Notamacropus eugenii: one gene and its partners. The protein of the gene in region 1 interacts with the protein of each later gene in a pairwise test. Links are inferred from orthologs where the notes say so. Each region holds a gene or a part of one and is shown in the gene's direction. Other genes may lie near its edges. The genes, in order: RBFOX2, ATXN1L, RBM42 and BOLL.

Region 1 (7,011 bases):
CAAGGAGGTGACTTCATGGAGCAGGGGTCCCGGATCTGGGTGGTTCCCGGGCTCAAAGTCACAGTTTGCTTCCTGACTCTGGGTCTGGGGCATTGGGTTTCAGCAGCAAGGAGCAGCAGTGACTTCTTAGACACCTCTTGGTGCTTCTAGGCACCCAACTGAGACTGGCTCTTGGTTTCATGTGTTGGGAATCACATGCATTTTGGAGTTAAAACATGACTTCCTTATGTTCCAGCAGGGAATCCAATGAGATGTTTGTAAAAAGTGCTTAGTGTGGTGCCTGGCACACAGTAGGTTCTGGATACGTGCTTATCTCTTTCCTCTCCCCTTCCCCTCTTAACCTGGGATCTACAGGTCTGTGGAAAGTTTCTAGGGGCTTGTGAATTTGTCTGGGGAAAAATGACATCTTCTACTAACCTAACTGAAATGTAGCATTTCCTTCAATTATCTAAAAACAGGATTCTGAGAAAGAGTCCACAGGCTTTGCCAGACTGCTAAAGGCATCCAGGATACATACAAGGTGAAGAAACCCAGCACTCAAGGAATGGTCATTTCCTCCCTTTCCCCAGCCAGCATCTCCCTCCTCTCCCTTCCAGTCTCTATTTCACACTGAGATTACTTGCCCCTCCCGCTCCCACTTCCCACTGCTCAGAGGGCATTGTGCTTCCTAGGCTCATACTAGAGTTTGCTAGTGGTGACTGTGTTGGTTGGGCTGGGGTCCTTCCCATCAGCCATCTCTATCTTCATGGTCCCCCTCCCCCACCTCACTGGTGCTCACAGGTATTCCACATGTCTGTTTATCCAGCAGGGTCTGATTTCTCTTTGTTCTGCCTCTGCAAGCATTCCTCCAATACTTATCTCTGCTTTTCAGAGGGGCTCTGGATTAACATGGATAGCTAAAACAAAGGACCTAGAAGGCCACTGGGCAGACCTGGCCCCAGACATTGTCCTGAGAGGTAGGGGGTGGAAGTTTTCAGAAAATCACCATGCTTCCAGGTGACCTTTGGCTTATCCCAGCTGCCACCTCAAAGCCAGGTCAGCACTCATTTGTTGGAAGGGGGTTCCAACTTTCCCAGTCTGGATAGGCTGCCCTGGAGGAATCTGCCTACTACTTTAAATAGACAATTCATGAGAAGAGCAGCGTTTCCAATGCTCTCATTTTATGGGGGAGGCAACTGTGACCACAAGAGGGAAGGGATTTGCCCAAGATCACCCAGGCAGTGGTAGAGCTAGATTTTGAAGATCAGGCCCTTTGACCCTGAAGCCAAAGCTGTTCCCATCAGTTGGCTTTGCTTGGTTCACTTGGTTCCTGGTTCGGAACTCTACCCCAGTCCCCTCCAGGCTCGAGGCAGGAGAGACTTGGACCTTCTAACCTGGGACTGCTAAGAGGTAGGGGTAAAAGAGGGAAGGAAAGGCAGGACAGTAAAAGGGAACGATGGCTGCATTTGGGGTTAGAGGATTTGAGTTTCAAGTCTGGCTCTGCCATTCAATGTAACTTAATCTCTTTGGGGCCCAATTTCCTCTCCTGTAAAGGAGGGGAAGGGGAGAGTCAGACTAGATGACCTCTAAGATCCTTTTCAGCTCTAAATCTATATCCTGTCACTGTAGGACCCTCTTTCCCCCTATGCTTTGAGCAGGAAAAATTATGGGCCCCACAACATCACAAGTCAAATGAAACCCAAGGCTAGCTCCCTGCCCGCCACTGGAGAATGTACAGGCTTTGCTAGCAGGGACTGTTTTTTCATTGGATCCCCATAGAGCTTTGCACACAAGGAGCAGACAATTAATAAATGCTCATGGAATGAACAAATGGACCAAGAGAACTGTCTCAGGGTTTGGACTGGGATGTGCAGCGTCTGGAGTCAGGAAGCCCTGAGCTCAAATTTGGCCTCAGACACTTACTAGCAGTGTAACCTTAAGTGAGCCACTTAACCCGTCTGCCTCATCTGTAAAATATAATAATAGCACCTACCTTTTAAGGTTGCTGGGAGGATCAAATCATGGTAAAGCATTTTAGCACGTAGTAGGTACTATATAAAAACACAAGCTATTATTATTGCAAGGAGATTTTTTTTTTTTTTTGCAAGCAGAACGGGAGAGGGAGAGTCCCGCCAATCTCCCTCCTACACCCACAAACCTTTCTACTCAGGCACAGCTTCCCTTGGCCCCAGATGGGTGAATTTGAGTCATAATGGTTTGCATCCACTGAGCCTAAGACAAGGGTCACCTGAGGGGGGGCGGGGCGCCCAACTCCTCCCCCTTCTCTTTGGCTCCCAGCCCACCACTCTCACTGCAGAGATAAGTACTTCCCGCCCAGCCACCTCTCCAGCCTGGCAAAGAAAGTCTTGTTCCAGGCTAATAGGCCACGCCCCTCCACCTTCCGAGAGAAGTAACCGGCACCTCCACACTCCTTTCCATTCCTAGGCGAACATCAGACTGTGCCCAAGGTAGAACAGGCTCACCCTTTCACCTCCCCAGATTTGAAGATTCCTCCCTGCCCCTTGCCTCCACCTCCCACCAACTCCAGCATAATGGCATGAGGGTTGTGTTTGGAGACAAAGGACTTGGGTTCAAGTCATGTCAACAAGCATTTATTAATCGCCTACTACGTGGCAGGCACTGGGCTAAGTGCTTTATAGGCATTATCTCATTTGATCCTCACAACAAACCTGGGGATTATTATCCTCATTTTACAGTTGAGAGAACTAAGAATAAGTGACTTGTCCAGGATCGCGGGGCAAGTAAATGTCTGAGAACTCAGATCGTTCTGACTCCAAAACCAGTGCTCTATTAGCAGGGCCAGGTAGGTATGATAGAGACGGGACAAATTGAATCTAATTAACGGAGGGTTCAAATCCCAGCACTGCGGCTTGCTACGTAGTGTGACCTTGGGGAAGTCTCAGCAAATGAAAAGGTTGGGCCGAGTTAGACCCCTGATTGTATAAGCTTCAACCTGGGGGTGGGGCCCTGACAGGACCCGCCCCTTTTCTTTGTCGAGTGGCTCGCCTTAGACCTGTGACCCCGCCCCTGAAAAGCAGGTCCCGCCCCCAAAGGCGGCAGGCCACGCCCACCCCTTTCGCCGGCCGCCTCTGCCTCCGCCTCCTCTCCGCCCCTCCCCTCGGGATCCGTTCTGCCGCCCCCTTCCCTTTGCCCTAGCCCTCCTCGCCTCCCGGAGATTCCCGAAACTTGCCGATTCCTTCCCTATCGCGCCGGTCGGGCTCGATCTGGCCCCACTGACCGGAGGCGACGGAGATTGCCGAAGGGAACGGGCCCCGCCCCCTCCCCTCGGGCCCGCCCCTGCCGGGCTGCTGCGAAGGCGGCTCCGCAGCTCCCGGCCAGTCAGCTCGCTCCGGGTCCCGGACCCCTCCCCCAAATAAACATCCGCCCCCCGGGGATCTCGGACCCGCCCCACTCCTTTCCTCCGGTCTGGAGCCCTCGAGAGGTGTGTCTGTGTCTGGCTCTCAGGCGGCGAGGGTTTGCGTGTGTGACAAACCGAGCGCGCGGGAGGCTGGCCGGCCAAGCGGTGGGGGGGGGGAAGGCCTCGTGCGCGCGCGCGCCAGCAGCCGCGGGGGCGCGTGCGCGCTCTGTCCCCGTCGCGAGCCGCCCGAGAGCGAGGCCCAGACCGAGAGCGAGGCTTCCAGGAGCCAGGCGAGGGGAGCCCGGCCGAGCGAGGCGAGCGCGCCAAAGGCCGGCCCGTCGCGCACGCGCACGCGCACGTGCCCCCGCCCGCGTGGAGGAGTGTGCGCCCGCCTCGGGGAGTCGCTCGCGCGCGCGGGGGGCGGGGCCGCCGGGAGCCCGTGAGTCGCGACTGTCGCGCGGCCGGTGGCGGGGCGCGGCGCGGCCAGCGTGTGTGAGGGCGCGAGAGGCGGCGGCCTGTCGCGCGTGGCCCGGAGCGGCGGAGTGGGCGAGGCGGGGCCGGCGGGCGGGCGGATGGCGGAAGGGGCCCAGGCTCAGCCGCGGCCGCCGCCGCCGCCGCCCCCCCAGCCCCCCGCGCAGCCCGGCCCCGCGCGGGGCGTCAAGCGGGAGTCCGAGCTGGAGCCGCCGCCTCCGCCTCCCCCGCCGCCCGCGGGCCCCGGCCCCGCCGACCCCGGCCCGGGCAAGCGGCAGCGCACCGACGAGGGGGCGGAGGGCGCGGGGGCGCCGGCCCAGGTTCGGCCCGACGAGGGGACAGCGGCCGCAGCGGGAGCCGGAGCGGGAACAGGAACGGGAGGCGGAGCGGGAGGCAGCGGCATGCAGGTGAGAGGGACGGGGCGGGGCACGCTCGAGGGGGGCGGGGCCGGTGGGCGCCGGAATGGGGGAGCGGGACACCTGCGGGGGAGGGGCATCTGGAGCGGGGAGGAGGGGGGACACCTGGCGGGAGGCAGGGCATCTGGCGGGGGGGGGGGGGAGCGGGACACCTGGCAGGGGGCATCTGGATAGGGGGAGCAGGACATCCACCTTGACAGGGGGCATCTAGTTAGGGGGAGGGATACTTGGTTTGGGGCGTGCTTAGATTTTGGAGGGGCAACCGCTTTGGGTAAGGAGATGCTTGCCTTTGAAGACACTCATCGGGAAGAGCATTCTGTTCGGGGATGGGTATACCCTGATTTTAAAAGGATACCTGGTTTAGGGAAGGGGGGGCACGTGGTTGAACAGGGACAGGGACATTTGGTTTGGAAGCCGGTTACTCAGCTATTTGGAAGGCAAGGTAGCTTTGGAGCTTAGGAAGAGGGGCATTTATTTTTGCATAGAGGGACTTCTGGCTTGGGGAAAGAATCACCTGGTTTGAAAATAAGAATCTTTAGATTTTGGGGGGAATGCTAGTTTTGGGGAAGCAAGACATTTAGGGAATACCTGGTTTGTTAGGAACACCTGATTTTGGGGAAATAGAAACTGGGGTTCCCAAATCATGTAGGGAATGCTAGTGTTGGGGAATCTGACATTAGCTTTGAGAGACACTCATTTCGCGGAACATCCTTTTTGGAAAGATAACTTTTTGGAGAAGGGAACATCTGGTTTTGAGAAAAGGGAGGACACCTTGTTTTGGAGGTGGAGCACACAGATTTTGAAGTTTGGAAGGAGGGCTTTGCTAGATTTGGGAGTCACTTGTTTCGGGGGAATTATGATGGTGATACCTTGTTTGGTGATGGGAATGTCTAGTTTTGGACAGAGACCAAGGTTTTTAGAAGAAATAGCTATTTTTGGAAGGGGGAAATGTTTGGTTTTGGTGGTCCTCATTTTTGAAGAGGGGTCTTTTGGAGGTAGTGTGCTCAACTTTTGGGAAATGCTTTTTTGAGGGCAGTTCATTTTGGGGGAAGTGACATAGTGGAACATTGGGAGGGAGTTCTTAATTTGGTGGTGGGGAACTCAGTTTTGCAGGTGAGTGGATGAGGAGCCCTTAATTTTGGGTGGGTTATTTAGTTTTGGAAAGGGAGTTGAAGGGGAATTCTCATTTTGTATAAAGGGACCTGATCTGAAGAAGGGGGTGTTGAGGGCTAGAGAGAGAGAGAGCCCTGTATGGGTGTGTGAATATGGGTGGCAACTAGTGGATCGTAGAGATACTGAAGAATGAAAGATAGGAGAGAATGACTCTGGTGGGGTTGAGACTCCCTTTGGCCATCTCTTTCCTCTCTTCTTGAGGAGAAAGGAATGGGAATAAGCTTGGATATGTTGTTTGGGAACAAGCAGATGAACCAAGCAGAAGAGGACGAGAAGGAGGGGCTGTTGTGACTATAAGGGCCTGAGTACTCTGGGCCAGAAGGTCTACAAATGGAGGAGGTGGACTCAAGGAAGTTAGACAAGAGAAGAGAGGGATGGAGAATCTACTCCTAGAGAGAGTAGAAAGGGGATGTGGCTTAGGCTGTGGGTTAAATCAGTTGTGGGACTTTTAGCAACAGCAGAGTTTGGTACTGTGGTCACAGCTCGCTGAGCCTCCTTAACTTGGAACAGCATGTCTGCTGAGACTGAAGCCAACAAGCATCCCTCCTGTGCCAGGCTTGGTGCATCCCTTGGATGAACAGCCAGGCTTCTCACAGACTCCTTTCCTACTTCCTTGTCTTCAAGCCTGAAAGGAAGTTTTCTGGACCTTCAGGATTCTGAGATGAGAAATTAGGGGTGGAAAGAATGGGGAGTGTGGTGTTTGGTCTGTGGTACATGGTCTGAGGTCAGAGCCAGAGCACTTCGTGGTTGGGGAGAGGGGCATGGTCTCAGCCTGGAAAAGCCTTATTTAGTGTGAGAGGTGAGGGGTGCTGCTCACTGTGGTATTCACCCTGCTTGTGCAACCAGAAGTTGTTCAAACTGACCAGGGTGCCTTAGAAGTCTGGGCAGACCTTGAATGCCTTCTCAGCTTTGTTTCCTGATTTTCAGAGCCCTTACGGGCTTCCTGAGCCACAGAAATTGCTGTGCCCATGCATGGTACTTTTCTGTAGGATTCTTTGCTCTTCTTAAAAGACAAAATCTGTTCTCTAGAAGGTAGTTTTGTCCCGTTATGTGTTGATTTAAGGGAGATGACCCATTTGTTTACCTACTGTGCCATGGGGTCCCAGTTGTCCCCCCACATTGAGGGCATTTTTTCTTACAGGATTCTTTTGCTTGGTCTGCCTGTTTTGCTCAGACTTTTTACTTTAGCAGGGAGAAATACTACAGGGAGCCATAATCTAGGATCCTGGAAGCAAACTAGAAAGAAAGCAGTGGCCTCTCAGACCTAGAAGCTGAGGTGTCCCATCGTTGGTGTGAAAGCTGTATGCTGAAGGCTTGGAACTTTGACAGGGGTGCTTGACAGTTAGTTTCTGTAGGACACAGTTCCTTTGGTCTCTTGAGATTGTTTTTTTTTCTTCCTTAACCTCATGGAATGATCTCTCTTAAGACTGACTGAAGATCTTAAAGTTGTTGAGTCCTGGTGTTCTGGGACTTTGGGGGGATGCAGGAGAGGAAGTAGATTTAGCAGTTTATCTGCCAATTGTAAGTCTCAGTGTTTTTTTCACTGATGCTTATTTATTTACTTTTTAGTTCCTAAGTGCTCTAGTTACTGTA
Region 2 (7,346 bases), on another chromosome or scaffold:
ACTTGGTACTGGCTAAGAAATAAGAGTGGTGGATAAGTGGAATAGGTTAGGGATACAAGACACAGTAGTCAGTGACTATAGTAATCTACTGTTTGATAAATCCAAAGACTCCAGCTTCTGGGATAAGAGGTCATTATTTGACAAAAACTGCTGTGAAACTGGAAAATAATGTGCCAGAAAGTAGTCATAGACCAATATCTTATACTGTATATCAAAATAAAGTCAAAATCAGTGCATGATTTAGATATAAAGGCTGATAGTATAAGCAAACTAGGAGAGCAAGGAATAGTTAACCAGTCATATTTATGGAGCATGGAAGAATTTGTGACCAAATAAGAGATAGAGAACATTATGAAAAGCAATATGGACAATTTTGATTACATTAAATTGAAAAGTTTTGCACAAAGCCAATGAAACCAAGATTAGGAGGGAAGTAGAAAACTAGGAAAGTATTTTTATAACCAGTGTCTCTGATAAATGCCTCATTTCTAAAATATATAGAGAACAGAATCAAATTTATGAGAATACAAGTCATTCCCCAATTGATGTGTTGAAGGGATATGAACAGGCAGTTTTCAGAGGAAGAAGTTAAACCTATCTATAATCATATGAAAAATGCTCTAAATCACTATTTACTACAGAAATACAAATCAAAACAACTCTAAGATATCACATATACCTATCAGATTAGCTAACATGACAAAACAGGAAGTTGATAAATGCTAGAGAAGATGTGGGAAAACTGGAACACTAATGCATTGCTGGTGGAGTTGTGAACTGATCCAGTCATTCTGGAGAACCATTTGAACTATGAACAAAGAGCTATAAAACTATGCATACTCTTTGACCCAGCAATACCACTTCTAGGTCTGTATTCCAAAGATTTTATTAAAAAAAAAAAGGAAAAGGATCCACATGTACAAAAGTATAACAGCTTTTTTGGTGGTAGCCAAGAATTGGAAATTGAGGGGATGTCCATCAGTCGAGGAATGGCTGAAGAAGTTGTAGTATATGAATATAATGGAATACTATTGTGCTATAAGAAATGATGAGCAGGCTGATTTCAGAAAAACCTGGAAAGACATATATGAACTGATGCAGAATGAAATGAATGAAACCAGGAGAACATTGTACACCGTAAGACACATTGTGCTACGACTTATCTCTTTTCAGCAATGCAAGGATGTAAGACAACTCCAAGAGATACATGATGGAAAATGTTATCCATATCCAGAGAAAGAACTTTGGAGTCTGAATGCATATAGAAGCATACTATTTGCTCTCTTTTTCTTTTGTTGTCTTGTTTCTTTTTTCTCATGGTTCCTCTCATTAGCTCTAATTCTTCTTTACATTGTGACTCATGTGAAAATATGTTTAATATGAATGTATAAGTAGAGCTATATCATATTGTATGCTGTCTTGGGGAGGGGGGAGGAGAAAAAAGGGGGGGAAATTTGAAACTCAAAATCTTAAGGAGGTGAATATTGAAAACAAAAAAATAAATTAATTAAAATTAAAAAAAAGTTTTTCTTGACATTATGCCTTAATTTACATCTTTGTTAATTCCACCCTTTGTTCTTGCTTCTGTCCTCTGGGATTAAAGAAAACAAATTGAATCTTTGATTCACAGTCTCAAACTCAGCCCAAAATAGAATTCATTACATCTCTCCCTATATACATTCCTCCTCCACATTTCTCCTGATGATACAACCAGCAATTCAATTCAATTCCATGCAATTCACTGAGCATTTATTAAGCATTAGCTATGTGCAAGGTACTTGCTAGGTGCTAGGGTTACAAAGACAGTAGAAAAAATTGTCTATCCTCCTCCTTCTAGTCATCCAGATTTTCAATCTTAGAGTCATTTTGATTCTTCCCTCTCCCTTATCAGCCATATCCAAGCAATTGCTACATCTCATAGACCATCATCTATAACATCCACCTCCTTTTCTCCATTCACAGCTGTTTGACTATTGTAATAGCTTTTTAATTGGTTTCCTGACTTAGTTCCTCTCTTTTCCAACCCATCCTCCAAATAGTTGCCAAATTAATATTCCTAAAGCACAGATCTAGCTATCTCAAAAATCTTAATTATCACTCCCCTCTCCTCACCAGTTATTAGCATTTTTCACATCTGAAATGACTTTGTACATATATTCCCTGAGTAGATAAGCAACTTGAGTGCAAGGACTATTTGGCTTTTGGCTTTGTAGCACTGAACATGGTACTTTGCACATAATAGGCACTAAGTAAAAATGTTTGTTGAATTTTTGAAGAAAAATCTTCTGTACATTGGAAGTTTTTGAAAACTGGAAGCAACTGCACCAATGAATCCCTTACTGGAGAAGGAACTCCTGTTTCAGTACGGGTTAGACACTGAGCCTCTGAGGTCCCTTTCAGTTCTGTGAGATATTGTGTACCTTGAACGTACACCAAGGACCTGCAATTTCATTGAGTGCACAAATTGCAAACCCTCTTTGATTTGTAACATGGGTGAACTGGCTTAAAAGGGCCAGTTCTTAGAGCATATGCAGATATTTCCCATCTGATTGCAATCCAAGTGCCCACAGGGGTTTCAATCTGTGAAACCAGAACTTAATTTCTTGCCATGTATGACTGAGGAGCTTATGTTAGGAGATGGTGAAAAGCCATCTAGTTGGTTGTCTAGCTGTCAAGAAAAACAGATGACTCAGATGAAGTTCAGTTGATACTGAGTGGGTATACATTCATCTCTCTTATTTTCTCTGCTGCCATAAAGGACTACCTAAAGTTGGTCACAAGAACCAGATGAAGGAAGAGCAGAAAGCTTGTTTCCTATCTGTATATGGCAGCTATGAGCACATGGCCTCCTCTGTTTCTTGGTTTTTATTCTTTCTTGATCTTGGTCAAATGAATATTCTGAAATGAAAGTGTAAGATCTTGTAAGATCACGAGATATAGAGTACTCATTAGAAGGCCCATTAGAAGTTGTAGTAGAACAGCAGTAGTAGCAGTGGCCACTAGAGTAGTGGCCCACAGCAATGGACATGGGTGCAGACAGATATAGAAAGATAAATCATCTGTGAATGGCATCATTGTCAGGAAGCATTCTATCTGTCATGGCAGATAGAAATGTTAACTTGGACTCTAGAAAGACCCTAATCTTTTGGGTCCATTAGAAAGCTAGACCTAAGAGGAACTTACAGAGGGCTCCAATGAAACAAGAAAGGGACTTTTAGGACCAGGATTGACATGTACCCCTTTGCTACATTGATTATATATGTTTGTTCATTATCGTTGGACTTTAAGTTCTAGTCCACTCTCCCTATGGGTTTCATATATTTTGCTAGGTGCTTGTACCCCAAGGGCTTTGGAGAGGATTTCCAACTGTTCTTATTACACTTGTAGTCTTTCTTTCTTTTTCAAGTTGATGGTGTCAACTCCTTGATAGTAAATAGAGACCACACTGGTGGGGGCTCATGAATAACCATTCTAGAAATCCAGCTTCTCAGGTTTGCCTCCAGAACTCTGAGAAGCAGTCTGTTGCCTGGGGGAAAGCAGTTTAGGAAATACAAGCCCAGGTTGGGGAAGGAGGACTAGAGAAGTATGCTATAAATATACATATAGCTTTGGGGAGTTGCTGGAAGCCAAGTGTCTGAGGTGGAATTTGAATGGATGTCCTTATTTCCAAGTGTAAAAGTATTGTATCCACTGTACTGAATTACCACTTTCAGACAGTTTGAAATGGATGGAGGGTTGGACGGATGGATGAAGGGATGAATGATAAATGAATGGGTGGAAAACATGTATCAGAGGATTACTGCGTCTTAAACCGCGTTAAATTAGGGGATACAAAGTATCAAAAGTAACAAAAGTACACGTCTCCACCCTTGAGGGAAGCCACACGTACAAGGGAGGGGCAGACAGGTGTTCTCCCAGGGATGGAGACTCCGCCGTCATCGATGTGATTTTCGCTCCCACAGCAGAAGGCGTTGATGCGACAAGCAGGGGGTGCCTCCTGGACTTGCACATCGGGCTGGGATGTCCCAAACAAAGACTCCGGGACGGCCCAGGCTGGGGTCCTCGTGCGCTCTGGAAAGGGGTGGGGTCAAGGCGAGGTCAGGGTCACCTGGAGGAAAGGGGCGGGGCAAGGCGGCCACGTGACCCGAGCCGCTCCCGGGCGCCGCGGCTGCGGCGGCCGTCGCCGGGGTTCGGCCAGCTGGCGGTGCGTCTGGCCCGCCGCTCTTCCCCGCGGTCCCCCCGCCCGCCGCTGTGACGCCATCTCCGGGCGCCGGGGGCAGGATGCGGTGACGCTATCTCCAGGCGCCAGGCTGGGGGCGCTGGGCGCTGGGCGCTGGGTGTGGGGCGGCTCCGGGGCCGGGGATGGCGGCGGCGGCGGCGGCGGCGGCGGCGGCAGCTCCTCAGGCCACGGCCCTGACACCGGCGGGAGGAGCCGAGAAAGCGCCGTGAGATGGGCCGGTGAGTCTCGCCGCGAGTGGCCGCAGCTCTGGCCAGGGTTGGAGGGGGTCCCCCATTCTGGCTGCCCCCTCGGCGGGAGGCGCCCCCCTAGCTGACCCTCATCCCCCCACACCCCCGTAGGCCCCACCCTCCTCCCGCTCCGTGACCCCCAAACGAGGAAGCGGGCGCCCTCCCTTCGAGGTTCCTCTTGTGACTCTGCCTCCTCCGGAAATTTAAACCCATCCCCCGCCCCGTAGTCTGTGAACCCGCGGCCCTGGCTGGGAGCCCTTCTGGGTGCCCGGGGCAGAGGCCTCGGGCAGTAGGACCGGCCGAGCCGCTGCCCTGGAGGTCAGCGCTCCCCCCGCGTCGGGGCTTAGCGGGGAGCCCCGAGCTCCCCCTTCGCCTTCCCCTCGAGTCCCATCTGGAGCCGCTTCTTCCGGAGCCACATCCCAAGCAAGGCGTTTGTGACTCCGATCAGTGATCGATACGTGCTGGAGCGTCCGATAGGTATCCCGATTTGGTCCGCTGCTGCTGTTCCGTCAGCTCTGTTGCATCCCCCTTCCTTTCGGTATTCAGCCCTTTGCTCGGCATTCAGGGACAGAGAGGGGGGGTAGAGTGGGTGGTTTTCTTGAATTCTTCAGAGATCGGGGGCATGGTTCGCCCCTGTGGGCATAACATGGCACGGCGTTGTTGAATGAGCCAGAACTGACTGTGCCTCAAGAATAGAAAGGATGTGCGTGACTCTTTCCAGTAGGAAATTTGTATTTATGTGACCAGGAATTTGCATGGTTACTTTATCCTTTAAGTCCATTTTCCTTAAGAATTCTGGCTTAATGCCGTGTTTATGGCTGCTTCTGCACAAGCCTTCCGTTTCCAGGACGGTTTGGACCTGAGATGACATGTCTTTTTGATGTCTTTCACTCCTAGACTTGGATGTACTGAAAAGTAGTCAGCAGCTTCTCATAGTATTTCCCCTGCTTTATCGGTCCGTTGTCCTGTACTTGGCATCTGTGGGCCTTTTAGATTGGTGTGTTTCTAGTTTAATGGGTGTGTGCTTCTTGGCTTCCTTCAGTTAGTAGATTGTAAATTCCTTGAGGATTGGCACTGCAGTTTGTTTCTTTAGCACCTGATATTGTGTTTTGTACAAAGCTGGCATTTAGCAAATGACATTGGCTGACTGGTTGGTATCCAATGTTTTTTTGTTGGAAATCTTAATAAAGCTTCCTCTTGAGTGACTTGACTCCCTCTTGACCTCCTTTTCTGCCCCAGAAATATTAATAGTTCTTTTCCCTGGTGCTTCTCTTATTCAAACGACCTCCATGCTTTAGCTTTCCACACCTCAGAGCAAAGGTGAAGTCATGAAATTGATCTTGTCTTTTTACTTGGTCATGGGCCTAGACAAGCTTTTCTATTAATTATTGGATCCAGCTGAATATTTATATTGGATATAAATTAAAACTGTAAGAAGATAGTGAAAGGTCTGAGCAGAAAGAACCAAAAAGCCTGTCACATTGGAGAGACAGTGAAATGAGATTCCTGATTTGTATTAGGATCCTTAAATTACATAAGATTAAAAAGTAACTTTTTTTAAACAGATTGTGCACCTGTACTGTCTAGTTGCCGTACTACTCTGCTTAAAAGACCTGCAGAATTTACTTTTTGTATCTCTCCTATTACCTGTTTGTTCTCTGATGGTACTTGGAAGGGTCAGAAATGAAAGTGTGCTATTCATTCTTTTCTCCTATCCTGTTTCCTTTTTCCAGGCTACCACGCCAGTCGGGAGGAGACTGCTTCATATTCCAGTTGCCCAGAAGCATTGCTGGAAGTTCAGGTAATAAACATGGACATCTCTTTGGGTTCCTTGCAGAATAGCATCTGGGGTGTAGGAGAGCCTGGTATTAAACCTCTCCTCATCCTTAAGGATATGTCCTGAAGGCTGAAGATTTATTGGAAGGAATAGGTAGCAAACTTCATAAGAAGGGCCTCTGAGCCAAAAAAAAGATTCTGATTGATGGTGGCCAGAAATGCTTGTGAAAGGTGATTAAGGAAGAAAGGGGAAAAAAGAAAGCTTTTTTTTAATACCTACATTGTCCAGTGAAATAGGCCTATGATTCTAAAGGGGGATTAGTATTTTAGGAAGTGAGCTTACAACAACATATTTGAAAGTTCCAAGGAAAAGGAACCATTGACAACATCATGAAGAAAAAAGGGAAAAAGGAGAGGAAAGAGAATCAAGAAAACAGTGATGAGGTATTGCTGACCCAGAATTGGGGAGGGAGGGTAGTCAAGCAGAAGGAAAAAATTGCTCTTACCTGAACAGGAACTAGAGATTCTTTTAGCCCAGAGGGCAGATTGGGCCACCTTTTGAGGATGAAGAGAAGCAAATATAAGTTAAATATGGAACCAATTACTTGAATATGGGGGCTTGAGTTGCTCTGAGTCATAATGGGGAATGACAGTTTTTTAGAACCAAGTTGATGGCATTTGAAAGTTAACTCGGGAACTTTTGGATAAGGGGGAAAAAGGTGACAATGAGACAAGAAGGCTAGAAGACTTAGGGAGTGGTAACAGTGGGGTGAGTGATCCAAGGCCGGAGAGTTTAGCCAGGCAGGGGTGGGGATAGGTGAAGTCATAAACCAAATAAGAGAAAGGAGAGGAAGTGAGGATGAGATCATAGAATCAAGAGAGGGAGATGACACATTCATCTATGATAGCAGAAAGGAGAGAGATTTAAGGAAAGAGGGTCAGCAGGAAGATTCTGTGTTTAAGTCCTCACAGAAGGGCAATCTGAGAGCTGTGAACAATCAAGGTCATCATCAGAGATGTGACTAATGAAGCTGTGGGTCTCCTCAGAGGAGTGGTGCCCACGGATTATTTATGTTTCAACTAGCTCTTTTCCTCTTAGCTCT
Region 3 (7,859 bases), on another chromosome or scaffold:
GGATTTCTTCCTTTTGGATGCTGTCAGTACTTTGTCTTTGATATGGAACATTCCTTTCAGGAAACAATTGGTGGGTTCTTTATATTTTCACTTCACCCTCTGGTTCTCATAGATCTGAGCAGTTTTCACTTAGGATTTCCTGGAATATCGTGTCCAGGCTTTTTTTTTTTCTTTCAAATACAGCATGGTTTTCAGAGAGTACAATGATTCTTCAGTTATCTCTCCTTTATCTGTTCTTCAAGCCAGCTGTTTGTGATGTCTGAGAGCCTCATTTTCTTTTTTTAATCTTTCGATTTTCTTCTGCTACTTTTTACTGTTTCATGGAGTCATGAATTTCTCTTTGGACTCTAGTTTTCAGGTGTAAGATTTACTTGTTTCTCTTCTAAGCTATTTATTCTTTCTTAAAGAGCTTTTATTTTTATCTTTTCATTTTCTCATTATTCAAGTCATCCCTGTAGAAAAATCCATTGCTTTTCTTTGAATCTCCACCTGCAGTTAACAGAGTTACTCTTTCTTTTTTCTGGCCAGATTTATAGACTGGTAGTAATCTATGATACTCGTTGTTTTCTTTTTTCTTTTTCCATCTCTAAAGCTGCAGCTCCTGAACTGGGGCTTTGTGGGAATCTGGATACTCACTGCACAGCTCTGTACTTGTGGCTGGAGTGTTCGGCCTTGCCTAGTCTGACCCTGGTTTATCTGGGTTCCCATCCCCACCTCCTTCCAAAGCCCTCTGCTCTTCCAAGGTCCAGAGTTCTGGATCGTCAAGGCCTCTTTGGCAAGTCAGGCCAGGGACCCCAGAGCCCTGCAGCACCCTGGTCTGAACAACATTCTCCCTTCTCAGGGCCCTTCCTGTTTGGGGCTTTTGGGGGGAGCACTTCATTCTGGCTGCCCATACAGGCTGCCCTTGGCCCTGGCCCTTTTCTGGTTGTTCTAGAAGGCTGTATAGTCTTCCTTGCTCTGCTGATGGGCCCTTTTTCTATGGCCTGTGGACTGATGACTTTTGGTGCAGTTTTGGGGTGGAAGAAATCACTTTTTGCAGTTTTCAGTCTATTTCTTGGTCATTATTCAGTCTGGAGTAGATTTCAGGTTTTTGCTGAAGTAGGTGTCCAGGAGTTGGGTAGGCCTCAGTATAGACAGCCATCTCAGCCAGAAATCCCCTTCACCTCAGGCCCAATCACCTCGATGATCTCTACACCCCCTCCTTCTGCCACATGGCTAGCTCTTGGCAGCAGAAATGCATGTGTGGATAGTGTAGAGGCAGAATGCCTGGGGTCCAGCACCAGGGGATGTTTGAGGTCAAGGAAAGGGAGGCGTCAAGGAGAACACAAAGGTTCGTGGGAAAAAAATGGCCCACGCAGTGCTCTTCACACATGTGCAACTTTGAATGCCCAGACCTCAGCAGATGAAAATCAGATTAATCTGGAGGAGGTGAACTCAAAACAATGAAGTACCTGAAATGCTGTGATTCAGAAGACCCCTTGGACTCCTTGGCTCTGTGGAGGTTGAATTTGATGATGATGGCCAAGCCAGACTTGCTGGTGCCTGTGCATTTATTTGTGCAGGCCATGCCATCTGCCTGTAGAGAAGACAGTCCTTCCTCATCTTTGGCCAGGCTCCCATCTCCTTTGTAAAACCTGAAGCAGTTTCCCCAGATAAAAGTTATCTGCCTCCTTAAATTTTCCAAAAACATTGCATCTTATTCTATTTTCCAACCTTTTCACTCTCCCTTGTTTCTCTGCAAGACTTTTCTGCCTTTTAGACTGAAAAGTCCTTGAGGGTAGGGACTGGATCGTGTATGTGAAAATCCCACTGCCAAACGAGGTCCTGCCCAGTGGAAGGGGTTAATGGATGCTCACTGAGTCACGTTGAATTGCTTCCTCCCCTCCCCCCCCAGAACTACTTCAGATCCAGGAATCTGAGGAGAAGAAGCAGCAAGAGCACCTGGGGCCCATCCTGCATCGCCTCGAGGAGCTCATGGAACAGGGACTGGACCACATCCCCCAGCTACTGAAGGCCGTGGGGGACTGGTGAGAGGGGGTGCCCTGGTGCTGAGGGACCCGGGGTGGGGGCTGAGGAGAACTGAGAAGGGGATGCTCCAGACCTGGGCTGGAAGGAGGATCCAGGACCTCCAGGGACCTAGCCTGTCCCTGCCATCTCGCCCCCAGGTGGGACCAGCCAGGGCAGAATGCACTTCCCGAAGAGCTCCAGGACCAGGATGGCCTCTCCCTCCAGCAGTGGAAGCTTCGCTGGGCACGGGCCCAAGGACGAAGAGCCTGAACGCTGAGGTTTGGAGCAGAAGCACAGAGCCAGACAGTTATTGGACTTGAAAAGAATTGGTTTCATCCTTTCACTGTTAAAGTGACAAATTCCTGCTCCCAGTAAAGTGCTTAGAGATTTCAGGACCAGGGCTTTTCTCTGTGCATTTAACCTCTGACCCTTAAACTTCTCCAGTCCTTCAGTGCCCCTGGACCAACTCATGTGCTCTTGGCCCTTGACGTGTCTGGCCTGTTCCCTCAGTTAAAACAAGAGGAGGCAATCAGGGTTTCCTGGGGCAGGATAGGAAATCAAAGACTTGAGATACTCCTCTAAGGAAGGGGGTAGGGGGAGCAGATCTGTGCCAGGTGGACCAGATGATGGGGTTGGGAGCGGAGGGTGAAAGAAGCTCCCACTGTGAAGGTTCTTAGGACAGAGACCAACCCCTTGGAAGGGAAGAAAATCTGACCATGACCTAAGAGCTGGTTTCCACACTGGCACCCTCAGGGTGCCCTTGGCTCCCCCTGGCACATGTTAACATATTGGGGAGGAGGGACTGGCAGTAGAATGTGTAGGGTACCTCCCTCTCCTTAAGTTTGGCCAGGGCTGTGGTGGCCCTTTCCTGGGGAGGATACAGTGGCATCTTTACTCCTGGTGGCCCTGGGGCCACATGGGGACCGGGTTGTTCTCATGAAATTTTAGCCTTCCTGGATTTTTTCCCAGTATTCAAGGACTGAACAGGAGGGCCTGCTTCAATGTGTAGTATATCTTAGTAATGGGAGATGCTTCAGGGATCTTGGATCCCTATGGAAGTGAGTCCCCCCCAGAGTTCCCAAAAAAGGGAAATGCTTCCCCAGGCCCTGGGGTACTCGGCTGCCATTTTCTCCTCAAGGTCTTGCTTAGGAGAGTAGCAGTGTATTTATTGGGGAGTGGAGACAAGGCAGGGGAAGGGGCCAGACCCTGAGCCCCTGCTGGAGAGCCATGCCCTCTGAGATGCGGTGCTTCAGCGCTTTGCTGTCTGTCAAAGCTTTGTACTCCCAAGGTACTTAGACTTCCCCACAGATCCCAGCCAGGAACAGGATGAACCTGGAAAACTAAAGGGCTGGCTGCTGTGTCCCCTGTGTTCCCCCCCCCCCCCCCCCCAGCCCCATATGCTTTCCCCATTCCCCAGGAAACCTAAATTCCAGTGACCTGGCTGAAAAATCAGGGACCACAGCCCTATCCTGACTCCTATCCAATCTCGACCCTAGGTCTCCTCTGTTTCTTTGCCTTTTGAAGGCAGGAAAGAGGGGGTCTGTGAGGTTCCTTCCGAGTGTGAAATTTGGGATCCATTTTATTATTCCTCAGTTCGTGTTAATAGGAGTTGAATGTGACCTTACTCAAATCACTTCCCGTTTCTGGGGTCTCAGCAAGGCAAGGACTTGGACTGGACCAGATGATCCCCAAGGCTCTCTTCTGGGTCGGGTTGAGAGGTGGTAGCAGAAGCTGTTGGCCTCCTTCCCAAAGCCCCCCTCTGCAGTAAAGGCCTCCACTCCCTCTACCCCCCTCAGGAATCCGGGCGCTTCAGTTACCAGCCCACAAACCTTCAGTGTTGCCTCTGAGGCTCTAGTAAAGCCCAGCTGCAGCACTCCACTGGAGGAGTCTGCACGAAACCGGGTGCTCCTGGGAGTGGGGAGGGACTGTTCCCCAAGGCCATTTGTCTCAGTCTGCCTACCTCCAGGGATCAGGAGAGTCCTCCGAGCCTTCTCTGGCCTCAGCTAGACCTGGCATTTCCTACTTCTCCCTAGAAAAGGCTCATCTCGGCTTCTAGCTGGATATGCTCCCCGGAAAGAGTTTTCCTCCCATACCCTGGCAAAGGTGATCATCCCATCTTTTCCCACTCGTGCTTCCCTCTTCGGTTTTGATAGCTAATAGTATTTCTGTAACGCACATTGGGCAGACGTGTCCTGGGAGGGAGGTGTATTGTCTTTATTTTACAGATGAGGTAACTGAGGCTCGAGGTTTAGTGACGTGGACGGCGCGTGCTTACAGCTCGTAAGCGCTACACCCCGTGCTCGGGCCCTTCCCATCTGCTTACACTTCGGATCTCCCCAATCTTAAAAGGCTTCACAACCCGTATCACTGAGCTATGCATCCCCCACTCTTTCCTTGTTCACCTATTAAAACTGGCTCCTTGCCGTGCCCCCCGAGCCTGCACCCTCTCGCTCCGGGGGACTCACGAAGGCTTTCTTTCCGGGCTCACCAGCCTGCCAGCGCCTCCTGAAAACCGGCCTTTCAAGGCTCTACTACCCCAGGGCTCCCCACTGCAGCCCCTGCACTTTCCAAGTAGAAAAGCCAGAGCGGCGAGAATTTGACGGAGTCCAGGCAACACTCGGGCCAGTTATAGGCGGGCTAGGGATTAAACCCGAGTCCCCAGCTCTAGACCAGGAACGCCCCCGCCCTCCCAGCAGGAAAACAAATCTCCCCCGACACTACTGGCCGATGGAAACAAAGTTGCAGGCTGGGGGCGTGGTCTCTGGTTCCTTGCGCTCTCATTGGCTCAGGAGGCAAGGAAGCAACTGCGCTTGCGCGCCTGCCGGACTCGCATAAAGCGAAGCTGATTGGTGCCACTTGAGCGCATGCGTTCTGCGTCATCGGCGTGCGTCGGCAAAGAGAGACAGACGGCGGAAGCGGCTGTGGCGACGACGATGGCTGGGACAGGGCCGCCCCCGGGACTCCCGGGTGCGGGGGTAGCGTTGCCCTCGGGCCCAGGGCCCTGCGTGCCCGGGAAGAGCGGCGAGGAGCGACTGAAAGAGATGGAGGCGGAGATGGCGCTGTGAGCCCCTCCCTCCCCCCGCCGCGCCCGAGGCCGGGCCGGCAGTCCCTCTGCCTCCGTGCCGGGGAGCCCGGGAGCGGGGAGGGCCGACCTCGTGGGGGTGGGGCAGGGAAAGGGGGCGGGGCCTACCCGTTGTCTCCGGTCCTCTGGCTGGGCCTGGGAAGAGCGATCCCGCACCGCCCGCTGCCTCTGGCCCCTCCTCGGGGGTGAGGCCGCCTGTGTCCCCGCCTCCCTTCATCTCCCATCCCTGTGGGTCCCGTCTCTGAGACCTCACCTGCTCTAGACGACTCCCTTCGGCCCTAAGGCTGGACGTCTCTGCCCCTGCTCCGTGTCTTCTCTCTGGATGTATCTTTCCGTCTCGTTCTCTCTTGTTGGTGTGTTTGTCTCCGTGTCCCTCCGGAGGTGGCTCGGGCTCTGCGTAGTCCTGATTTTTTATCTTCTTTTTACTTTCCCTGTCCACGTCCTGGTCTTAGTTTTTGCCTCACTCTTGCTGTTTTTTCTAAACTTTTTCTTTGTCCGATTACTTCCATCTTTCGTGGTGTCTCTTAATCTTCGTCTGACTCCCATGTTTTTCTTTCTTATACTTCTCCCTCTGTCCTTCAACATTCCCAAGTCTCCTTCCGAGCCTGCAAAGAGAGAGGGTTGGACCAGGTGGCTTCTGAGATCCTTTTTGGCACCAAACCCAGTGATTCTTCTGTGTGTCTAAGTCATTTCTTCTTTCTGTCTCAGGTTTGAGCAGGAAGTCTTGGGGGCTCCAATATCTGGAATTCCAACCCCAGTTGTACCAGCTGTGGAGCCTGCACCTGTGATCCGCCCAATCATTGCCACCAACACCTACCAGCAGGTAGGGCGGTCTAGTGTACCTTCTGGTGGATGTGTAGACTCTTACCATTCAACTAGTTCCTCAATTCCAAACCAGCTTTTATTCTTTGTTCCACTTGTCTATTAGTCTAGACTCCCAAGAAAAAGGGAATTTGAGCTCCCTCACTGACCACTTTCTCTTGTTCTCCCTCCTGGTCAGGTCCAGCAGAGCCTGGAGGCCCGAGCAGCGGCAGCAGCCACAGTAATTGCTCCCATTGTAGGTCCCCCTGGCCCCTTTGTGGGTCCTGGTGAGTTGGGAAGGACGTAAGAGGGAGGGTGGGTCAAGAAGGAATAGTCCAGAAGGTCCCCCCACCAATGCAGTTTCTTCTCCTCTACAGTTGGCTTTGGTCCTGGAGGAGATAGAGGTCGTCTCGACAGCCCTGAAGCCCGGGATGCCATGTTCCTTCGCCGGGCGGGTCAGTGCCCAGGACCCAAAGCCTAGAATTCAACATTCTCTGCCCCTAATACACACACGCTTAGTGCCCATACCTCCACCTCCAGTAAATATTTAGCCTACCCAGGAAATCCCTCCAGGACAGTCACAAAATCCTGAGACTCCCCCAGAATTTTTTCCTGAGCCCTTAGAACTCCCCAACAATTCCACAATGCCTCTTCAGAGATATTTCTCCCAACCATGGTACCTTTCCAGAGACCTAACCCCAAGGGACCCCAAAAGATACCGTCAGGCCCTTTAAAACCATCTAACCCCTAGATACCCAACCGCTCCTCCCACATACAGATCTCCCAACGATCTCAGGACTCCCTGAGATTCAAAAGACTGATTCAGAGGTGCCAGCAGTGACCCTAGGACCCTCTCAACCCCTGAACCCCTGAGGCCTTCATTCAAAGACCCTGAAACATGGTCCTTCACACCCTGTCTCCATCTCTGTCTGTGTCTCTCAGCAGTGCCCCCGCAGCGTCCCCCCATCCTGCGCCCAGCCTTCGTCCCCCATGTGCTGCAGAGAGCGGGTGAGAGAAGGGCCTAGGGAATGTTCCTGGCCCGGCCCCATCCCCTCTTTGGCGTCCCCGGCACCTCAAAGATCCAGGGACCCCCTTCACCACACACTTTCTCTTTCTCTTTAGCAGGTGGCCCACGCCCCATGGCTCTTCGGCCCCCACATCAGGCCCTGGTTGGGCCTCCCTTACCTGGTCCCCCTGGACCTCCCATGATGTTGCCACCAATGGCCCGGGCACCAGGACCCCCACTTGGCACAATGGCGACCCTGAGGCCTCCCCCAGTGAGTGTGCAGGGCATGTGAGAAGGGAATGCCTGGGGATACAAACATCCCTATTGTAAACCCTAGAACCCAGCCCCCAACTTTAACAGTATCATCTGGATCTCCCCTAGATGTCTTTGGTTTCTCTGCATCTCTCTATGTTTTCCTTTCTTGTTCTTTCTCTATATCTGTTTCTTTTTTCTTGTCTCTTTTCTCTCAAGCTCTGAACCCACTCAGGTACTCCACAGTCTGAGCTGGGAGTGCCTGCTGACCCTGGGTGGGGGCCAGCTCCCCATGCCCTCCCCATCCCTGGCTCTGAGGCCCTTTGTTCCCTTCTATTTCTCTTGATAACCTTCATCTCCTTGTGTTTTTGTCAGGAGGAGCCTCCGGCCCCTCGGGAACTAGGCCTAGGCCTGGGCCTGGGTCTGAAAGAGAAAGAAGACGCTGCTGCTGTGGCTGTGGCAGCTGCTGCGGCTGCAGGGCTTGAAGAAGCAGGGGCAGCTGTGGGGGGCCCAGGAGCTGCAGCAGTCATTGGGCCCAGCCTCCCCCTGCCCTTGGCCATGCCGTTGCCTGAGCCTGAGCCCCTGCCTCTACCCCTGGAAGTCGTTCGGGGACTGCTTCCACCACTTCGAATCCCTGAGCTCCTGTCCCTAAGGCCCAGGCCCAGGCCCAGGCCTGAGCCCCAGCCACCCCCAGGACTCATGGCCCTCGAG
Region 4 (7,191 bases), on another chromosome or scaffold:
AAGGATTAGTCACTCACAGAATGTTAGAGTTAAATGGGACTGTGGGAATTATGTTGTCCATCTTCATTTACAGAAGAAATTGAGAACTATAAAGGTTCAGTTTATGCTAGGATTTGGAGTTAAAAAGGGAGCTGCTTGTGCTTGTCCTTCCTTTTGGAAGAGGACCATGACAAAATGATGATATGACTTGCACTTGACTTTGTTTGGAGTGAGGGAAGGCTGTGCAAGGTCACCAGCCTCACTTTCTCCTCCAGAGCCATCTGGGTCCGGTGGTCTGAAATACATCAGACTGACTGGAAACGGGCCAGAATGCAATGGGAGACCCTGGGTCTTTTCAGGTTCTCACTTTGAGTGAGGAAACACCCATTCAGTGAATAGGCCTCTTTAAGAAGTGATTGAAAAAAAGAAAAGAAAATCAAGCTGGGGAGGGGAAGACCCTCAGGGTTACTGGCCAAAAGAGAAATAGTTACTAGTTACTATTTACATTCACTATGCCCTAGGAGGGCAGAGACCTTTTGTTGTCCCATCTAGTTTAGGAAGTGATCAGTCCAATTCCCTCTTTTTATGTATAACTGAATCCCTCTGCTTGTGACTTGTCCAGGAATCCAAAGTAAATTAGTGGTAGAACTGGGCAAATTCAGGTCTCTTGACCAGCAGTTCAAGTTCTATTAGAGAATGGTAGAAGGTAAAGCTATTAAGCTATGATGGGGTCAGGAAATCACCCCGAGGCTTTGAATCCCAGGCCAAGGAGTCTGATCTTAATTCTCCAGTTAACACCATACCATTGAAGACTTTTGGATAAGGGAGGAACAGGATGAAAACAGAGGAGAGATGAATACAGGCACTGAACTAATCCAAAATCATTTTCCAATTTTTTTCCCCAGGCGTTGGATCTGTAACTAATTACATTGATAGAGAAAGCTCCTCTGAAGAAATTCCCTCCATTAGTGCAGAACAATAATTTATAGACTTGAGAGTTCCCTGGGACGTTGAGAAGCTAAGTGACTTCCCCAAGATTCCACATGTGTCAGAAATGGGATTTGAACCCAATTAGTCCTGATTCTAAGGCTAGCTTTTCTATCCACTACTCATGTTCCCTCTCTTTCCACTAATATCCTTACCATATTATACTAAAACCCTATTAGAAAGTCATAAAACCCTGTTATATTTAGATCATGATCACCCATTTATAATATTGTTCCCATGGAATTAACTACCTCCTTTGGTATTATTTTGCCATAGCATTTCAGAAATTAATGACATTAGGTGAGATGTGCTTGTCCTGGTAAGCAGTTTAGTGTTATTTTAGGAAAGCTAAATTAGATATCTAAAGGTGAGTGATGGATTTAAAGGTTGAAGAATTGGAATTATTCACCTGTAAGAGAGGCAGTATAGAAGTGGATAATAACAAGAATGTTAAGCTACAACTGATGAACTTGATTGAATATAAGGCATCTCTAACATGCTCATGTGCTCCATCTCTCTGGAAGACATCTTCCCTCTGTCCTTTGAACCAGACCCTGCATTTCTAACTAACTTTGGTGAGAGTGGTCTTGTAAATATGTGTGCTTAGTAGAAAGTGTGAACAAGGAAAGAGAGTTTTGGTTATTCAATATAAGCCCATCACCACTCCTGGAGAAATAATTAGAAGTATAGCATAGAGTTACTGGAAAACTGAAACATAATTCCTCAATTCTAGAACATGGCTTTTAAGATTAAAAGAATAACATTCTCCTTTAGTGTGAGGATTAAAACAAGAAAATTTGGGTTTAAATAGCATGGGCAATCTAGAAAAGATGAAATACAACCGAAGGATTAAAAGTATGCTTCTCATTATATTCATAGCTAGTAAAGTTAAGATCACCTTGATGGTGATCTTTGAATGTGTTAAAATTAATATAGGCACTTTTGTTGGTTTTATTTTAATCCTCTACCTTAGAAGTAAAACCCATTGTAGTAGTGTGCAGAATTATTACTGTAAAATAATTTTCTCTATTCCTCTTTTCTTGGTTAAAACCTGCAGCTTCTTGATTCTTGATTTTTATTTTTAAAAATTGTTCTTGAAGTGTGAGCCTCAGCCTACGTCTGGAACAAACTACACCAAGTTTTCCTTCCCAATGAGACCTGGAGTAGTGTTTCCTATGACAACAATTCTCCCCAAACTATAAAATCATGCTTATTATAGGGAATAGGCTAATAGGGGATACTATTCCTGGAGGTGTGTGGCTCAGCCAGGCTAGGATCAGCAGTTATGGGCTTGCTGGTGAACTGACACCAGAGTACAGTAGTAGAGAGAGGACCCAGGCACACAGAGAGGGGACTTGGAGCGCCGAGGGCCAGGGGCCAAGGACCTGGAGCCCGTCCTTCCCAGGAAGGTGGAGTGGGCTAGAGTGGTCGCCGAGCCTCCAGGTGAGTGATCTCCAAGCTCCTGTGTCTGAGCGGCTCCCAAGCCAAGCGGGGGGCGAGCAGCGGGGCACGCAGGGCCGTGTTCCCAGAGCCTGCCCTCTGCTCCCCTTCCCGGCGATGAGTGACAGCGGCAACAGGCGGAGGGTGGGGGAGCTGTCCAGGGCGGCCCGGGGAGGCTGCGCTCGCCACCTTCCGCCAGCCTCTCCCCAACTGGTCTGCTGCTCCTTTAAAGAGCTCCTCTTTAAAAAAAAACATAGCGAGGAAACAATGTTTCTAAACTAACGAATTACAAGGAAAGACCTTGTCTAAGCCTCTCAAAAGGGCCAAGAGTTAAAGTCTCCTGACCACGCCCCCTTAGCTTCCTACCCTCCGAAACCAGGATAAAGCGAGCGGCTGAGGACTAGACGCCCTGGACCCCCAGCCGGACCCCCAGCTGAACCCCTCCCCGAACCTCAGCAGCTTTAGCCACTTCGTGGTCATGTTAGTCAAAGAAAAAATGGGTAAAACAGGTATTTACGTACTGCTTTGAAGTTTGCCCAGTCCTGGACGTAGATCACTTTCCCCCTCCCTCTTCCTCGCCACTCTCCCCTTACAGGAGGATTCACTCCATTCTCTCCCTTCCCTTGCACCTGCCCCATTTCAGATTACTGGGAATCCGCCCGCCCGCGCCAGCCACCGCACCCTGCCAAGGGCCCGGGAGTCTCCCGCAGCGCCCCCTCCCTTGGTTAAAGGGCCCGCCCGCACCACCTTCCCCACTCCCACTCCCCCGCCCCCGGCGGAGACAGGGGACTTCGGCTGGATCCCGAGTGTGGCAGGTTCACGCCCCCGCGTCGGAGCCGCCACCTCTGCAGCCACAGCCGCGAGCGGGGCGGGGGTGGGGGGGGTGGGAAGAAAAAAGTTTCTCTCGTCGGGAAACGTGGTTCTGCTCCATTTATTTGAAGGTTTCGTGGTCCGGTTTTTTTTAGTTGGTTTTTTTTTTACACTTTAAAACTTTTTTTTTTTCCCGAAGGGAGCCCAAGGAAGATGGAGACGGATTCGGGAGCGGTGAGTGAGAGAGGACGGGATCCCGGGGCGGGCCAGGCCGCCTCAGCCGCCGCCTTCCCCTTCTACGCTTGTTGGGTGCGCGGGGGCTCGGGGATTCCGTTTTGGGGTTGGGGTGCCGGGCTGGGTCAACAGCTTCCCCAAGGAAGGGCTCCCTCGCCCCGCCCTCCGGAGGCTAGGTTACGGCCTCTAACGCCGCCGCCACCGCCGCGGGCCGGGCGTCGCGGCGCGGATGGGAAGCCTCGAGAGCAGGGCAACCGGGCTCGTATGGGACCGGGGCGGGGTCGGAGCGGAGGCGAGGAAGGAAGGCGGCCTGGCGTGGGGGGGCGCTCAGATGGGGCCGAACGTTTCTGGGGAGGGGCGGCGGCTCAGGCCACGTGCGACAGAAGGGAGACTGGAAAGGTGGCTGAGGCCAGACGATGACGACGCCGCTTCCCCCAGGCCGGGGGCAGTGAGCTCTCCTTTCCCGCTGAAGCCACGGTCTCGAAGACCACGCCTTCCCAGCGCCCACCCAACCTCCGAGGAAAGCGGAATTTTTCCGCCTCAGCCGTGGCCAACTTGGGCTTCGAGGAAGCCCCTCGTGAGACTGTGGAGTCGCCCCGCCACCGCAGAAAACGATAGGTGGGGTCCCGGGGCTGCGCTCCGGGGCCTGTCTAGCCTTTGATCCGCTTCGCAGGCGTAGAGAGGGGACGGGCTGGGGGGGAAGGGGAGGGGCCGGGGTGAAGGGGAGGGGCCGGGCTGCGGCCCTGAGGCAACGTGCCTGGCCGGCTTCTGCCCCGCCCCCTCGCCGGCGGGAGGGCCAATGAGCGCGCCCCGTGAGCGGGAGGGAGGCTAGTCTCGCCAGCCCCGGCACGCGCCTTGGAAGGCTGGGCGCGAGGCGAGAACGAGGCCGTTGAGCTTCCTTTGGCTGAGCACAGCGTTTGGGCTAGCGGTGGACCAGACCTCATTGACCATAATTTCCCCCCCGCTCCCAGCTGGGGCGGGGGTGGACGCTCGAGGCTATGTCCGCTCCGGTGCTGACCCCAAGCAGCTGGAGGCAGTGTTTGCCGCGTCTGTTTCCGCGCTCGCCGGCCTCGCAGTGGACCGGGCTCAGAGGCAGGGGCCGTGACCGTTAGCGCGCCTCTTCTTCCAGCTCCGCTTGCAAAGCTTATCATGTTTGACGGTTAAACTAAGCCGTGGTATTTAACTCTCAGAGAAAAACAGTCACTACATGGCCATTACCGTGGGAAAGAACTTTACTGATAGGAGTCTTTTTGCCGAGCTGCTTCTGCCGAACATCAAGGTGCGTGGTATGGCACGGAGTTTTCTGTATAAGTGATGGCTCTGTTTTCTGACGCTTCTGGAGTGCTGCTGAGGCCGGCACGGAGGCGACGGACACGCATTTTGTTGTTCAGCCGTGTCCCACTCTCCCTTACCCTCTTGGGGGTTTTCTTGGCAGAGATAGAGTGGTTTGCCATTTTCCTCTCTAGCTCGTTTTACAGACGAGGAAACTGAGGCAGAGTTAAGTGACTTGCCCAGCTAAGAAGTGTCTTAGCTTAGATTCTGAGCTCAGGAAGATCGTCTTCTTGACCACAGGCCCAGCACCTTCTCCATCGTGCCACCTAGCTGCCTTTTTTTTAACCAAGTGTCATCACGGATAGCGTATAGGCTGGTAATAAGAGAGTCTCTGCCTTAACGTGGATTACAGAGACAGCTGCATAGGTTTTGTTTTACAGATGGTCGTGTGTGTGTCTTCTGTTACTAAACATCCTTTGACATTTGATCATTTTACAAATTGTATGACACAGTTTCTGTTTTTCCTTTCACAAATAATAAAGCTTGTTTTTCTACTTTCCCTACACTCAGGAATAAGTATTGAATGATCAGACACCATTTCCATTCCTTTTTTGCCTTCTCTCAAAAAAATTGCCTTTTCTCCATTCGCATAAACGCAGCGAAAAAATTGGTGATTGTATTTAAACCATTAACTTAAGGAATATCTCTTTTCAGGAAGACAGCAGATGTACAGGGGATTGTATTTGAAATTAAGAGCCTTGGGGTTTAGACATTTACTAGATGTGTTATCTTTGGCAAGTCAAATAACTTGTCTGAGCCTTGGTCTCTGCATCTGTAAGATGGACATAATGGCACTGTCTCCTTCAGAATCGTATGTGAAAAACCTCTGTGGAACTCCATTTTCAATTTTCAGTTGTCTTTATTAGAAAAAATTCTTAGTCAGCAGTGGGGTTTTTGTTATACAGATAGCCACATAAGTGAACCATACATGCATCTTGTTCTCCGCAGTTCTTCATATTATTTTTTTAAATTCTATTTGTATAGATACTAAATTAGTAGATTATTTTAGTTGAAAGTCAGTAAGTTTCCTGTTTTTATGGAAAGTGATCTAGAGTATGCCATTTAGGTAAGTTTGTTATATATCTGAGAAATATTTGATATTTAAAACATTTCTTATAAAAGGAACGAATAGTTTGAGTTCATCCTTCCTTTTCAAAGAAGACCATAACATCAGAGAAATGATGACATGACTTGCACTTGACTTTGTTTTGAGTGAGGGAGGGCTGTGCAGGTCACCAGCCTCACTTCTCCTCCAGAGCCATCTGAATCCAGTGACCAGATATTCATCAGGATGACTAGAGATGACCCAGGATGCACTGGGAGATGTTGGCCTTCTTAGGCTGGCCTTTTCAGGTACTCGCTTAGAGGGAGGTAACACCCATTGAGTGAATAGGCCTCTTTAAGAAGTAGTCAGGGAATGGCCTTTTTAATGAACAAAAGAAAAAAAATAAATCAAAAATGGAACAAGCCTGAAGTAGAGATCAGAGTGGTCTCTGAAAGACCTTAGAGAGGAAGTGCACCTCCAGATGTCAGCATCCAAGGATAAATCCCCATCACCCCATCCTAGTTGCGGCCCAGGGAAACAGTGTTTTAGAAAACAACCATGCCTAATTATGTAAGAAAGGGACTGAATGAATAGTTAAGTAATACTGAAAAGGGGTTTGATCTATTCAAACCTCTCTTCCTCTTAAAGAAAGGTCTAGCCAGAGACAAGTTTGCTGTAGGTAGTCTATTCAGAGTTGACTGTACTTAACAATACTGTACTTAACAGTAATATTTCAATAAAGCAGATCCCTACACCCATTTCAGTCAGGTATGCAAACATTAATCAAAAGGTGAATTTCTGCCAAACTACAAGGAGAAAAATTTCTGTATAAGCAAAAGTTAGTGTTTAACCACCTTGACAAAAATGGCCAAAGCAACCTTTCTACAATCCTTTTCATATAGGTAACACATTTAAACTTTTCATTGTTATTTCCTCAAGCAATTCTGATAAAACTTAGAGCTAGGTGCTACCATATTAGTATGTAATGGAAAAGCATTCCTTGTTAAATACTGTATAATTCAGACTTCTCTAATTCAGGTTGGTCTTCCTCTCATTTTAAAGTGGTAAGATTTTAATGTACTATATATAGATTCTGTAGATACTATAACTAGGAAGGTGTTAAAGCTTAGCTCAGAAGTTTAGTAGGTATGAGGGAAGATAATTACTAAATTATCACTTTGAAGCCATTTGTTCTTCAGCAGTTAAGAAGTAACCTTAACATCAACTACTTTTCAAGTTCCCCTTCCCCCCAAGTATGCTACTTTAGTACTCATTCTATTCTTGTTTTTCAAGGTCTGTCTTTTTCTTTTAAATTTCAATAGCATCTACAATAAAATAAGTTTTGTTGTATTTTATTCAATGTG

The links.
Region 2: the proteins of RBFOX2 (region 1) and ATXN1L interact in binary tests that used the Homo sapiens proteins (3 or more experiments, as listed by UniProt). The link is inferred for Notamacropus eugenii from reciprocal best matches to the Homo sapiens genes RBFOX2 and ATXN1L.
Region 3: the proteins of RBFOX2 (region 1) and RBM42 interact in a two-hybrid assay, tested with the Homo sapiens proteins (2 studies listed by BioGRID and IntAct). The link is inferred for Notamacropus eugenii from reciprocal best matches to the Homo sapiens genes RBFOX2 and RBM42.
Region 4: the proteins of RBFOX2 (region 1) and BOLL interact in binary tests that used the Homo sapiens proteins (3 or more experiments, as listed by UniProt). The two-hybrid records come from large-scale screens. The link is inferred for Notamacropus eugenii from reciprocal best matches to the Homo sapiens genes RBFOX2 and BOLL.

What each region holds. Positions count from the first base shown.
Region 1 is NC_092874.1:293,145,561-293,152,571, reverse strand, and holds the start of RBFOX2 (RNA binding protein fox-1 homolog 2), read left to right. Parts: upstream 1-3,915; 5' UTR 3,916-3,930; coding exon 3,931-4,236; intron 4,237-7,011. UniProt on the Homo sapiens protein: RNA-binding protein that regulates alternative splicing events by binding to 5'-UGCAUGU-3' elements. Prevents binding of U2AF2 to the 3'-splice site.
Region 2 is NC_092872.1:712,069,210-712,076,555, reverse strand, and holds the start of ATXN1L (ataxin-1-like), read left to right. Parts: upstream 1-4,307; 5' UTR 4,308-4,458; intron 4,459-4,482; exon of another isoform or gene 4,483-5,005; intron 5,006-6,200; 5' UTR 6,201-6,268; intron 6,269-7,346. UniProt on the Homo sapiens protein: Chromatin-binding factor that repress Notch signaling in the absence of Notch intracellular domain by acting as a CBF1 corepressor. Binds to the HEY promoter and might assist, along with NCOR2, RBPJ-mediated repression.
Region 3 is NC_092876.1:32,862,731-32,870,589, forward strand, and holds the start of RBM42 (RNA-binding protein 42), read left to right. Parts: upstream 1-4,856; 5' UTR 4,857-4,871; coding exon 4,872-5,068; intron 5,069-5,287; exon of another isoform or gene 5,288-5,694; intron 5,695-5,797; coding exon 5,798-5,912; intron 5,913-6,060; exon of another isoform or gene 6,061-6,089; coding exon 6,090-6,177; exon of another isoform or gene 6,178-6,267; coding exon 6,268-6,345; exon of another isoform or gene 6,346-6,832; coding exon 6,833-6,898; exon of another isoform or gene 6,899-7,012; coding exon 7,013-7,167; exon of another isoform or gene 7,168-7,523; coding exon 7,524-7,859. Other genes in the region: HAUS5 (HAUS augmin-like complex subunit 5), read left to right, coding at 1,895-2,027, 2,166-2,277. UniProt on the Homo sapiens protein: Binds (via the RRM domain) to the 3'-untranslated region (UTR) of CDKN1A mRNA.
Region 4 is NC_092876.1:268,130,486-268,137,676, reverse strand, and holds the start of BOLL (protein boule-like), read left to right. Parts: upstream 1-4,106; 5' UTR 4,107-4,657; coding exon of another isoform or gene 4,658-4,729; intron 4,730-7,191. UniProt on the Homo sapiens protein: Probable RNA-binding protein, which may be required during spermatogenesis. May act by binding to the 3'-UTR of mRNAs and regulating their translation.